Macaca mulatta: one gene and its partners. The protein of the gene in region 2 interacts with the protein of the main gene of each other region in a pairwise test. Links are inferred from orthologs where the notes say so. Each region holds a gene or a part of one and is shown on either strand. Other genes may lie near its edges. The genes, in order: SPMIP4, KLHL40 and TASOR2.

Region 1 (4,073 bases), on a different chromosome or scaffold from region 2:
AAAAAAAGAAAGAAAAGAACTCCACAAAACAAGCAGACAACCAGTCATTTTTTCATTGTCCAGGTGTTTTGAGGTGTTTTTTTCTTTTCCTTTCCTTAAAATGATTCAAGTAAATACAATAGAGGAAATGCTGACACTAAGATCTTGGCAAACTCCTTGTGTGTATCTGTTATTTCATATGTAAAATGCAGATAACAGTAGTACTTATCTCATAGGGTTGTCATGAGGATTAAACGAATTACTACATACAAAGCATTTGGTAGAGTGCTGACACATAGTAATCATTAGATATGTTAGGTGCAATATTTTTCATTGTAATTTTTTTTTAAAACTTTTTTTCTAGGTTCAGGGGTACATATGCAGGTTTGTTATACGGGTAAATTGCACGTTGCAGTGGTTGGGTGTACAAATTATTTTGTCACCCAGGTGATAAGCACAGTACCCAAGAGGTAGTTTTCTGGTCCTCGCCTTCCTCCCTCTCTCTACCCTCAAGTAGGCCTTGGTGTCTGTGGTTCCCTTCTTTGTCTCCATGTGTACTCAATGTTTAGCTCCCACTTATAAGTGAGAATAGGTGACATTTGGTTTTCTGTTACTGTGTTAGTTTGCTTTAGAATAACGGCCTCCAGCTCCATCCATGTTGCTGCAAAGGACATGATCTCATTTTTTATGGCTGCATAGTATTCCATGGTGTATATGTACCACATTTTCTTTATCCAGTCAACCATTGATGGGCATTTAGGCTGATTCCATATCTTTGCTATTGTGAATAGTGCTGTGATGAACATACCTGTGTCTTTATGTTAGAACAACTTATATTCCTTTGATAGAACAACGTATAAGAACAACTTAGAATCCAATAATGGGATTGCTGGGTCAAATGGTAACTCTGTTTTGAGTTCTTGGAGAAATCACCAAACTGCTTTTCATAAATTAAATCATAATGTGTAATTAATGTGCTACAGGGAATTTGGTGAAGCAAAAATTTACACAACTATAAGCAGCAAATTCTAGACAGTAGAAGGGCATGTTAGGGAACCAATACAGTACTCTTTATAATAGTCTTTGATTACCACATATTAATTTCCCAATGAAGGAACGGGCCATTCTACGATTTTAGAATGTAGTGGATGAATATGATGTCTGGCTTTTATAGTACACAGCCACTTACTTCTCGAGTTCCTTACAGACACTTGACGGTTCAGTTAATTGCCACGTTTTGCCTTCCCTGTGATATGATAAGCAGAAGAGCCCCAGCCCGGTGCAGTGGTCACGCCTGTAATCCCAGCACTTTGGGCGGCCGAGGTGGGTGGATCATTTGAGGTCAGGAGTTTGAGACCAGCCTGGCCAACATAGTGAAACCCTGTCTCTACTAGAAATGCAAAAAAATTAGCTGGGCATGGTGGAGCATGCCTGTAATCCCAGATACGCTGGAAGGTGAGGCAGGAGAATCACTTCAACCTGGGAGGCGGAGGTCCGGGTGAGTCGAGATCACACCACTGCACTCCAGCCTGAGTGACAAGAGTGAGACTCCGTCTCAAAATCAAACAAACAAAAAACAGAAGAGCCCCAGAACAATACATGTTTTTCATCACATAATAAAATACACTAATACATTAAAACTGCTTTTTCTTTTTTGCTTTTTCTAGTTTTTGTTTTACCTGTCCTCTGAGGCAGTTGGGCGAGTAGTCGTTTGGAGGGGGGTGTGCAATTCATTAGAGTAAAAGGTGTTGGACAGTATGTCAGCTCCTTCAAGCTCCCTGCAACAGTAGGGCCTGCCGTGAATGACCTCCATGCTTCTTGGCTAAAAAGGCACAACCTGGAAAAGTAAAGGAGGGGACATTTGGCTTGTCCACTCAAGGCAGGCAGAAAACACATTTTACACTGTTAAATTGTTCAACCTGACGCTGCACAGAAATCACAGGCTTCCCTCTGCACTGAAAGCGGTCAAATCAGTAATAAAGACCTAAATAAGTTCTATGGAAATGAATTTCAACTGAAACAAATCCACAAAGTGGAAGGTGCCTCCAAGTAGTCACCACAATGACCATCCAGTAGGTTCGTACCAGTCCGCTTTGTGGCTATCAACTGAAATTCAATTCCTGCCTCAAATTTAACTATAACTATTCAAGAAAACTCAGTTGACTTTTAGCCTGTGGTCTTTCCGAAAATTAGAGACTCTTCATTCAAGAGAATAAGAGCTGTCCTAAAGGCTTCGGGGATTCCGGACAAGAATCCGTTTGCAGATGGTGGAGTCAAGGGTGCAGCACGAACGGGACCCTAAAAGGGATTCCAGGTTTCCACTGCGTCGGGGAGAATCCCACCTCTCCCTCGGACTTGGGGGAAGGCCAGGAGGCGGCGTAGCTGGGACCAAGGGTGCCGGGGGCCGAGGCCGAGCCTCGCGGGCTGTCATCGCCCTGCGAGCGGTGCCTCGGGGGTCTGGACACACCTGGGACATGAGTCTGGGGGCGCTGCGGGACCGCGCCTCCCCTCTGCTCCCTGCAGCTGGCGGCCTTCGCGGGCCGAGGAATTTTGAGGTCGTCCGCACCTGCGGCCCGGTGGAGCTGGCAGGCAGGGGCGGGGGCGGGAGAAGGACGGCGGGCAGGCCGGGGTAGGGTGGGGCTGGGGGGCGCTTGTGACGGTAGCCGTGACCGCGGCACTAAGTGATGCGTCCTTGAGGGGCTGGGGGCTGCCGGGTGGCGGGCGGGGCGCGGTAGGCGGCTCTTAGAGACCTCGGAGGCAGCCAGCCCAGCGATGCGGCACTGGCAAGAACGCGAAGAGGTACTGACAGTGAAGACAGCGAGAGGCGCGGTGTCGGAGGTGAGAGGGTCTCTTCCGCCTTGCGGCCGCTGGCCCCGCCTCCCGGTCCCTTGCCCCGCCCCTCTCGGCTCGCCGCCCTGCCTCCTGTAGGACACCGCCTGGCCCCACCCGCGCCTCGCCCCCAGGCGCCCTCTAGCGGCAGCGGCGATGGCGATATCAGTTTATTTTTCCAGGGCTTCCAGGTCTGAAGCTGTCTCCCGGCGGCCACGGAGTGTTCTCATGTGGACTGGGCGGAGGAAGAACTCCGGTCCAGTGGAGTCCCCGGTGAGGTCGGAGCATGCGACCTGTCCTCCCTCCCCAGGTCACCTCGCAGGATTGAGGACAGTGCGGCCAGATCGAGGGTGGAGTCTGCAGGATTTTGAAACTGCAGCCCCTGGCATGGCGCCCTAACAGAGCCTCTGCTCCTTGCCTGGTGGGTGCGGACGTGGCAAAGTCCTTTACTTGCCTCGTCCCCAGACCCTAGCCCCACCTTGATTATCTCAGTTTTCCCCAAAAGATACAAATGTGAGCCACGTCTCTGCACCTACAGGGTCATGACTTCCTGTGATGGCTGAGAACAGGGATGTCACCCCCCTCCCCACTTGCCCCCCACACCCCATCAAGGAATGGGATGTGGGGAGGTTAGGCTCTATGTATGATATGTGTGATATGGTAAGGCTTTGTGTCCCTACCCAAATCTCATCTTGAATTGTAATCCCCATAATCCCCGCATGTCAAAGGAGAGACCAGGTGGAAGTAATTGGATCATGGGGGCAGCTTCCCCCATGTTGTTCTCGCAATAGTGAGTGAATTCTCACGAGATCTGATGGTTTTATAAGGTGCTCTTTCCCCTTCTCTTAGCACTTCTCCTTTCTGCCGCCTTGTGAAGAAGGTGACTGCTTCTCCTTGGCCTTCTGCCATGATTGTAAGTTTCCTGAGGCCTCCCCAGTCACGTGAGATTGTGAGTCAACTAAACCTCTTTCCTTTATAAATTACCCAGTCTTGGGCAGTTCTTTATAGCATTGTGAGAAAAAACTAATACAATGTGGGAGGCTAGAACTGAGCCTGCAAGAACCAGAAGGTGAGGGTGAGAATGACAACCTCTGAGAAGAAGGGTGTTGAAACTGTGTGCCAAAGAGTTAAAGAAAACAGTCATAGAAATTCTTGAGTTTACAGGATGGCAGATAAAATAAACAAATTGCTGAAATGCTGAAATGCCTGGGCTTGTAGGTTAATAAAACTGGCTGAAATCCATTGGAACCTATAAGGCCATCTAG
Region 2 (4,383 bases):
GGAGGACCAGACAGGATTGTTCCTTTGTCTGGGACACTGCTGCGAGCTCCAGGCCTGGCCTTCACCAAGAGGCCCTGCCCAGGATCCTTACACAGACCTTGCTCCTCCTCACTGTGCCCCACCCCAACCTCTGTGCAGGGCCAGGGCCTCCAACATACGCCAACTTGGGGCTACCTCACCCCTGAAATTGAGATACCAGAGTTATGCTGCTTTTTGGCAGTTGCCTATTGACTGTCTTCAACCTTCAAGCAGGTGGCTATCAGTCAACCGCCCCAGTCTACATCTCACCCTAGACCCAGTGGCATTTCCTTGTGTAGACACAAGCCCCTCCTGGGCCCCAAGACTGCCCCCAGTGCCCAGAGCCCAGCATTAGCTGGCAGCTCCCAAGGCTGGTCAGGCACCTGCAGGAAGTATGCGCTCATGGGGTCTTCTTTGTTGTCTTCGTTGTAGAAGAGGCCTCCAGCCACAAAGACCTGGTTCTCCTTGGTAACCAGGCTGACGTGGTTCTTGGGGACCTGGTTGGAGAGGGAGGCACAGTAGCACTCGTTGGCTGCTGGATCGTAGGCCACAGCGCCCTCCTCACTGATCATAAAGATGAGGTCCTGCAGGAACATGCCGAAGCGCAGGGTGTCATTGAGGATCCCAGGAAGGATACGTTCGGCCTCCTCATCCTCCTCTGCTTTGGCTTCGCCTGTGCCCTTATCAGCCTCCTTGACCCCGGCTGCGTCTTTGCCCTTCTTTTTCTTCCGCAGCGTGGTGATGCGGCCCTCGTGTGCATCCTTCACCATCTGCACCTTGCGCAGCAACTCGGGCTGGGCACGCACGAGAGGGTGGCGCTCCACGCGGCTCTCTAGAAAGGCGCGCGGCAGCAAGCGGCAGCGCACGCTCTCGAAGACGGTGGGCAGCGCGCGCTGGCGCTCAGCCTGCGCCTCGGCGTCGCCGCTGCCAGCCCACCGCATCACGGCCTCGAACACCGCCTCCTCCTTCTCCACGTTAAGGCCGTCACTAGAGATGATGGCGATGAGCTCATCGGCCGAGAGTCCGAGGAAGTCAGCGTCGCGCGCCACCAGCGAGAAGTGAGCGCAGATGAAGTCTCGGGCAGCCACGGCGAGACGCGCGCAGTCGAGCAGGAGGCCAAGACGGAAGACGGCCAGGCAGTTGGAGAGGCACAGGCGCTTCTGCAGGAAGGACACGCAGATGGTGAAGATGGAAGGGATCTGGAAGCGGTGCGCCGCGGCGAACAAATCCTGCACGCTCGCCTCGTCCAGCGCGATCTCTGACGTGTACAGGTAGTGCAGCACCTGGGCCACCACGTCTGGGGACACCTCCTCCAGGTGCAGCTCGCCCGCGCGCTCCGGCTCGGCTAGGAAGCGCGCCCGGAAGTAGGGGCTGCAGGCGGCCAGCACCAGGCGATGGCACGGGAACTCGCGCTCGCCCGCCCGCACCACACAGTCGAGGAACTTGCCATGGTCCAGCATGTCCTTGAGACCGTCTTGCAGCAGCGTCTGCTGGTACAACCGCTGCTCCTCCGCCTGCTCCAAGCCCAGCGCCATGATGGGTGGCCTAGGGTGTGGTGGCGGTGCCAAGGGGGCTCCTCTCTGTACCCCTGCTTTCCTGCTGCGGCTTGCTTAGACTGCGCAGCTGTCTTCTAGGGGCTATATATAGAGGTGGCCGGGTCCCTGTAAGGCGAGCCGCCTGGCCTCCTGCACATGACGCACAGGGGACAGCTGGGCAGAGGCCCCCTCCCGGAGAAGCCTTGACTCAGCCCCAGGGGCTTATGGGACGGAGGTAGGGTGTCTGGGCCCTTCTGAAAGATGAGGGCCTGGCTGCCTCATTTCTAAATGGAGCACGGAGAGGCCTTGACTCTGGATTTTTTGGTCCGAAGATGCCCCTAGGAGAGTTGATGGCCTAAGTTCTGACCCTCAGTCCAGAGACGGGGAAGCATTGGAGCCCCTCTTCCAGGGTCTCCCTTCCTTCATGCTTTCTGGGAACATCTGTCCTGGTGCCTCCATCTTCCTCCTCGGAATATGTCTCATTCCAGCCATCCCCGGATACAGGGTCCTTGGGTTTTCTGGTCAGAACTTGGACATGGTGTTCACTTTTTGGCAGCCCTGTTGCCCTGCCTTTATTTTAAGAGGCAAGGTCTCACTATATTGCCCAGGCTGGTCTTGAACTCCTGGGCTCAAGCCATCCTTCTGCCTCAGCCTCCCTAGTAGCTGAGATTACATACATAAGACACCCCCCACCCCGCATTGCCTCACCTTTAAAATGGGAAGAGCTTTTCCTCTTTCTGCCCCTCCTCCTTGCAAGAAAGCAAGAAAGTACCTTAGGTAAACAAGGTTGCCACTTTCCTATGAGGCCTGGGACAGGACATGTCGCTCTGTTAAGCCTCAGTTTCCCTTCCTACACAATGAGGAGGTGGCAAAGTTAGATACTAAGGGCCTCAGTTCAGCTCTGCTGGAGGTTCAGAAGCACCAAGGTACTGTGTCCTGGAAGTACACTATTAGAGGGTTTTAACACTTCTAAGGTGTCAGATGTGCTAGAAAATTAATTTCTTAGGATTCTACTATTCTAGGTTTTTAAACCCCCAGGGTTTTAACATTGTAGGGGAGTGACATTCTGAATTCTAGTGTTCAAAAAGTAACACTACAGGTTTAATATTTCAGGACTTTAGCTGTCTATACTCACTATTCTTGGTGCATATTAGGCTAGACCTGAGCCTGCCTGGCCACGGGGCCCCTGCACCTTGTCTATGGTCTGAGGGACCAGGGTTGAAGCCCAGGACAGTCAGTCTTGATGCCTACCTTGTTCAGGACTCCTGACCCACCTCCCCACACCCTCCCCACCCCGCCCCACTGCCAGACACATGCGCTCGCACATACACATCAGCCTCAGTCACCAAGATTAACTTGTTCCCAAAGTGCCAGAGGCTGCAGCTGTGTGTTAAATTTAGCCCCCAGGACACTGGGATGAACTGTTACGAGGCACACCCCCATCATTCCTCTGAGTCACTTGTTTATAACGTCAGGCGGGGGAGTGGGGGAGGGGGGTGGGTATAGGAGAGATGACAGCAGGCTGGGCTAGGACTGAGTCACCTCCCTTTTGTGATCTCAGCAATATCACTCTCAGTCCTTTTTTTTTAGACGGAATTTTGCTCTTGTTGCCCAGGCTGGAGTGCAATGGCGCGATCTCAGCTCACTGCAACCTCCGCCTCTGGGGTTCAAGCAATTCTCCTGCCTGAGTCTTCCTAGTAGCTGGTATTAGATAGAGGTACCCACCACCACTCCCGGCTAATTTTTTATTTTTATTTCTATTTTTTTGCATTTTTTGTATAGACGGGGTTTCACCATGTTGTCCAGGCTGGTCTCGAAATTCCGACCTCAGGTGATCCTCCCGCCTCGGCCTCCCAAAGTGCTGGGATTACAGGTGTGAGCCACTGCACCCAGCCTCTGTCCCTCTTAAACGGTGCATCTGACTGTCACTTGCTCACCCCACCAGCAGGTCTCAGAGGGACACAGCACCTGGGCAAGCTCTGGAGGTGGTCCAGTCCCTCTTGATAAAAAGGCAAAGGCTCACTCAGGGAGGGCAGGTGGTGAGATTCCAGCCCAGCCCTGGACTGCAGGGCATTGCTAGCAAGCACAGGCAGTGAGGAGACCAGGCTTGAGAGGCTAGGCACCTTGGCCAAGTCACACAGCGGACATGGGCTGCACTAGGATTTGAAGCTGATCTGCCCTCCTCCAAAGACTGTGGGAACCCTTTCCTACCTTGCTGCCTCCCAAGAATTAACAAAAATGTTCATCAATTGTAGTCTCATTTTCAAAGATCAGGACAGAAGACACTGACTGAACAATTAACTTAGATTTATCAAATGACTTAATGAAATATTTTTAGACTATGATGGATTCCATAGTGCTCACTCCCTACCAGGCATTCCAGTAGAACATGTGTATGTGGCTCATTCATTCAAGAACCAACCGTACACTGCTTTAAATGCTGAAGAGTCAGCAGTGAGCAAATCAGGCAGGAATTCGTGTCTTCATGGAGCTTACATTCGTCAGGGGGTCGGGGCAAGGTTGGTAGGGGAGACAGAAATAAATAAACAGTTATACGGGGCATCAGATGATAGTCGTGGCTGTGGAGACAAGTGAAACGGAAGGCGCATGGGAAGTGGCAGGAGGAGGTGATAACGATTTTAAATGGAGTAGTCAGGATGGACTCACCGAGAGGATCACATGTGAGAGGGGTCAAACTGTGGAGGATTCCCGGTAGGGGAACAGCTGGAGCAAAGGTCCTGAGGCAAGACAGTGCCTGGCACGTTCCCAGAACAGCATAGAGGCCAATAGGGCTGCAGCAGTGAATAAGGAGGTGAGTAGGAGGAGGTAA
Region 3 (3,647 bases), on a different chromosome or scaffold from region 2:
TGCATCTGAAGATTCTAGCATTTCCTCAGTAAGTGCTGACTGGGCTTTAGCAGGGGCCTGACTACACGGAACCAAGCTTTCTTCATCTTGGCTAACAATTAAGTCTGACTCAGAATTACTCTTCCTATCAGAAGATGGGTTAGGAAGTAATTCACCTTTTTGACTTTTAACTCCTCTGTGATATTCATGGTCAGATGTACCTCGCAAAGAATTTTCTTTAGAGAGCAAAACATCATTTTGTGGCAATTCAGAGGAACAGTGAAGATTTCTAGGCTCAGGTACCGGTGTGGAAGAAGTAGCAGAGCTTAATGCTAGATCGGCCAACATATTTAGGGCCTGGGAGTCATAGTTGACAATGGAGTTTTCAGGAAGATCATTGTGAGCCACTGTGCTATTTTCTGGTTGAACGCTATTTATGCTAATCCCATCTTCTTGACCATCTCTTGAAATTTCTGATTGAAGCTTTGAAGCAGTTTCTCCTTTGACTTCAGTATAAAAGAAAAAAAAAAGAGAGATATGTTTGCTTGTTATAGAATTAATTCTCTGCCATATTACTATGATGGTTAACTCAACATGTTTGAGAAAAACTTATGTTACATATATTGCATATTAAAATTTTCTATTAGATTAAGGTCTCTTCCAACCCTCAGGTAAAACCTGTAATACACAGCATATTAAAATTTTCTGTTAGATTAAGGTCTCTTTCAACCCTCAGATTATAATGTGTTAAACCAGAGGGACAAGTCTTAAGGAATGTGTACATTAATTTAGAAAGAAATTACCTTTCAAAAACATATGAACTGATCTACACACAAGACATACAGCTCAGCTCAAAAAATGTACAAACAGAAAAAAACAAAACAAAAAAAAGATGACAGTCCTGCCCTTGGGGAGCTTACAATCTAATTAAGGACAGGAACATAGAAGTTTCAAGTGTGTATTAGAGTTTGCTAACATACTTTCTCAGGAATCATTTCCCTGAACAAATGATTTATTAGAGAAACTAAGTTCAAATGATTTTAACTACATTGATCTTTAATTACATGATGTGATAGAAATAAAAAATTAGAAAAGTCATGAGTATTCAGAATCATCAATTAATTCCATTACCTTTTAAACTTTTACTTTCATTACCAAAAACATTGCCTCTTACATTATCCAAGAAAGAGCAAATCTACTGACAATGTTCCTTTTTATAGATAATCAAATCTATCCATATGCCCTTAATCAGAATATTTACATTTGCTAGTGGTTTCCCTAGGTATTTTCAATATATTAATTATTCCTTCCTAAATGCTGTTATTATGAAGGATAAACTTCACAACTCTACTAGGCAATGATTCTCTGCTGCAGGTAGATAGGTGAACAGAAAAGCCAACTGTGTTCCTCTTTATCATAGTAGCAGGCCCAAAATGAGTTAACAACCTGCCAGCCAAGGCCAATGAGTAACACATTTAAAGAGAAGAAAGCTCCAGCCTATGATGTCACCAATTAGAAAGAGAAAGGCATGCACATACATGGGGAAAGGGTTAAGCTAATCAACCACTGCCCAGTTTTCATTTAAAACAGCAAACCCAAAGGGGACAGGTGGATGAAAAGGACCCAAAGCAGATAATTGTCTTGTTAGCCCCAAAGGTATACTGGAAACATAAAATTAATTTTGTGATCTGATGCTAATTTCATTCTATCTTTGTTATTATGGCCTCCATCTACTTATCCCTTACACAAACCACTACTTATGAGTAAGGCCTAATATAAAAGATACTGTATTAAAATAAAGAAAAATGGTAGTTTAATATATTACAGTCTCACATAAATCACCCAATTATTGACGTGTTACAGGTTCTCAATAAAAAAAATACACCACCAATAATTTCTATTTAAGACATACATAAGACAATGCCAAAGGAACTACACTAAAAAAAAGTTTAGTGAATAAAAAGGACAGAAAATCAAGTTTCATTAACAAAAGGACTGTTTGTTTGACTTCAAAATTATCATTTGATTCTAATTTAAATCAGTAATTTTCAAACTGAGGTCAATGTGGCTATGGTTCATCTACCTTCTTAAACTTTGATATTTCAAGTATAGGAAGTAAAATGATTAACATAGGCGCTTAAGAAAAAAATTAAGAGATTTAAACGTAGTCATTTAAAAATGTTAACTTGGAATGTGGCTCCATAATACATAGAGACATTTGCAATACAAATCAGCCTGTATTTGAACACATATTTTGAAAACTTTAAATTTTCTGGGCTCACTTTTCTGCCAGTATGCAATTACATACCTCCTCCCATTAATCAATTTGTCAATAAACATCTGAAGCCAATTCAGTACAACGAATTCAAATGACGCTGCTAGGAACACAAGATGTTATCTATTCTCATAATGTTTACAAATTGGAAAGACTGGACCAAGATACGTCAAATGACTTGAAAATAGTATGAATTAAATTATATAATGTTCTCAAATATCCCAAAGAAATGAGAGATTAGTGAGAGTCAGAACATGAGAAAATGCCTCCCTGTGGGGATAAATTCTAGCTGTGAGCCCCTGACGGGCAAAGCATGCGTGGGGGAGGCACATATGGCCCACAGGGGAAGAAGCATGGTGGCAACAGCAGGGGCGCAACACAGAGAGGTGGGGTGCAGCCGCACCATAAACTCCCAAGAGAGACAAGCAGAAGAGCTCAAATTTGGTATGGAAGCCAAAATTGCAGCATATGGGTTTTTGAATGACATGATGAGCTTCTAAAAAAATCTTCAGTCACAAAACAATCTGAAAAACCTTAAAGAATCTCAGGGTATGCTTAAGTTAAACAAACAAACAAAACAAACCTGGCTGGATGCAGTGGCTCACACCTGTAATCCCAGCACTTTGGGAGGCCAAGGCAGGCAGATCATGAGGTCAAAAGGTCGAGACTATCCTGGCTAAAATGATGAAACCCCATCTCTACTAAGAATACAAAAATTAGCCAGGTGTGGTGGCATGCACCTGTAGTCCCAGCTACTAGGGAGGCTGAGGCAGGAGAATTCCTTGAACCCGGGGGCAGAGGTTGCAGTGAGCAGAGATTGTGCCACTGCGCTCCAGCCTGGCGACAGAGCAAGATTTCATTTCAAAAAAAAAACCAAAAAACTCAACAATCCACTTTCTTTCTCTGAATTCTCATTCTCTGTGAGATACTAAAATCTAGTAACAGATGAGGGAGAAAGTAGAATCAGGAAAACCAGACAGAAAACTCATAGAAAAGATATGAGGGAATGACGTCTCTTTGTTAAACAAAACAAAAAAATAACACGCACACCACAAACGAATCAATACCAAAGGGAAGAAAAATTAAGGAAAGTAAATCCGGGAGGAAAGCTGGTATGTGTCTCACTAAGGTGACAACAAAACTTTCTAGTACAGACGTTATGTACAGAGGTTGAAAATACAAAACTAGAGCAGTTCATGTGACTAAACTTGATTCTTCACTTAAGCAAAGTTAAATCAGTAAAACTACTTTTAAAATTAATGCCTTTTAAAACCAAATATAGGATTCTCAGCTGGGCATGGTAGCTCATGCCTGTAATCCTAACACTTTCGGAGGCGGAGGCAGGCAGATCACTTGAGCTCAGGAGTTCAAGACCAGCCTAGGCAACATGGTG

The links.
Region 1: the proteins of KLHL40 (region 2) and SPMIP4 interact in a two-hybrid assay, tested with the Homo sapiens proteins (2 studies listed by BioGRID and IntAct). The two-hybrid records come from large-scale screens. The link is inferred for Macaca mulatta from reciprocal best matches to the Homo sapiens genes KLHL40 and SPMIP4.
Region 3: the proteins of KLHL40 (region 2) and TASOR2 interact in binary tests that used the Homo sapiens proteins (3 or more experiments, as listed by UniProt). The two-hybrid records come from large-scale screens. The link is inferred for Macaca mulatta from reciprocal best matches to the Homo sapiens genes KLHL40 and TASOR2.

What each region holds. Positions count from the first base shown.
Region 1 is NC_133408.1:103,201,820-103,205,892, reverse strand, and holds the start of SPMIP4 (sperm-associated microtubule inner protein 4), read right to left. Parts: upstream 2,832-4,073; 5' UTR 2,447-2,831; intron 1,817-2,446; 5' UTR 1,793-1,816; coding exon 1,659-1,792; intron 1-1,658. UniProt on the Homo sapiens protein: Microtubule inner protein (MIP) part of the dynein-decorated doublet microtubules (DMTs) in flagellum axoneme. May serve to reinforce and thus stabilize the microtubule structure in the sperm flagella.
Region 2 is NC_133407.1:106,032,904-106,037,286, reverse strand, and holds the start of KLHL40 (kelch-like protein 40), read right to left. Parts: upstream 2,862-4,383; 5' UTR 1,554-2,861; coding exon 402-1,553; intron 1-401. UniProt on the Homo sapiens protein: Substrate-specific adapter of a BCR (BTB-CUL3-RBX1) E3 ubiquitin ligase complex that acts as a key regulator of skeletal muscle development.
Region 3 is NC_133414.1:7,296,384-7,300,030, reverse strand, and holds part of TASOR2 (protein TASOR 2), read right to left. Parts: intron 486-3,647; coding exon 1-485.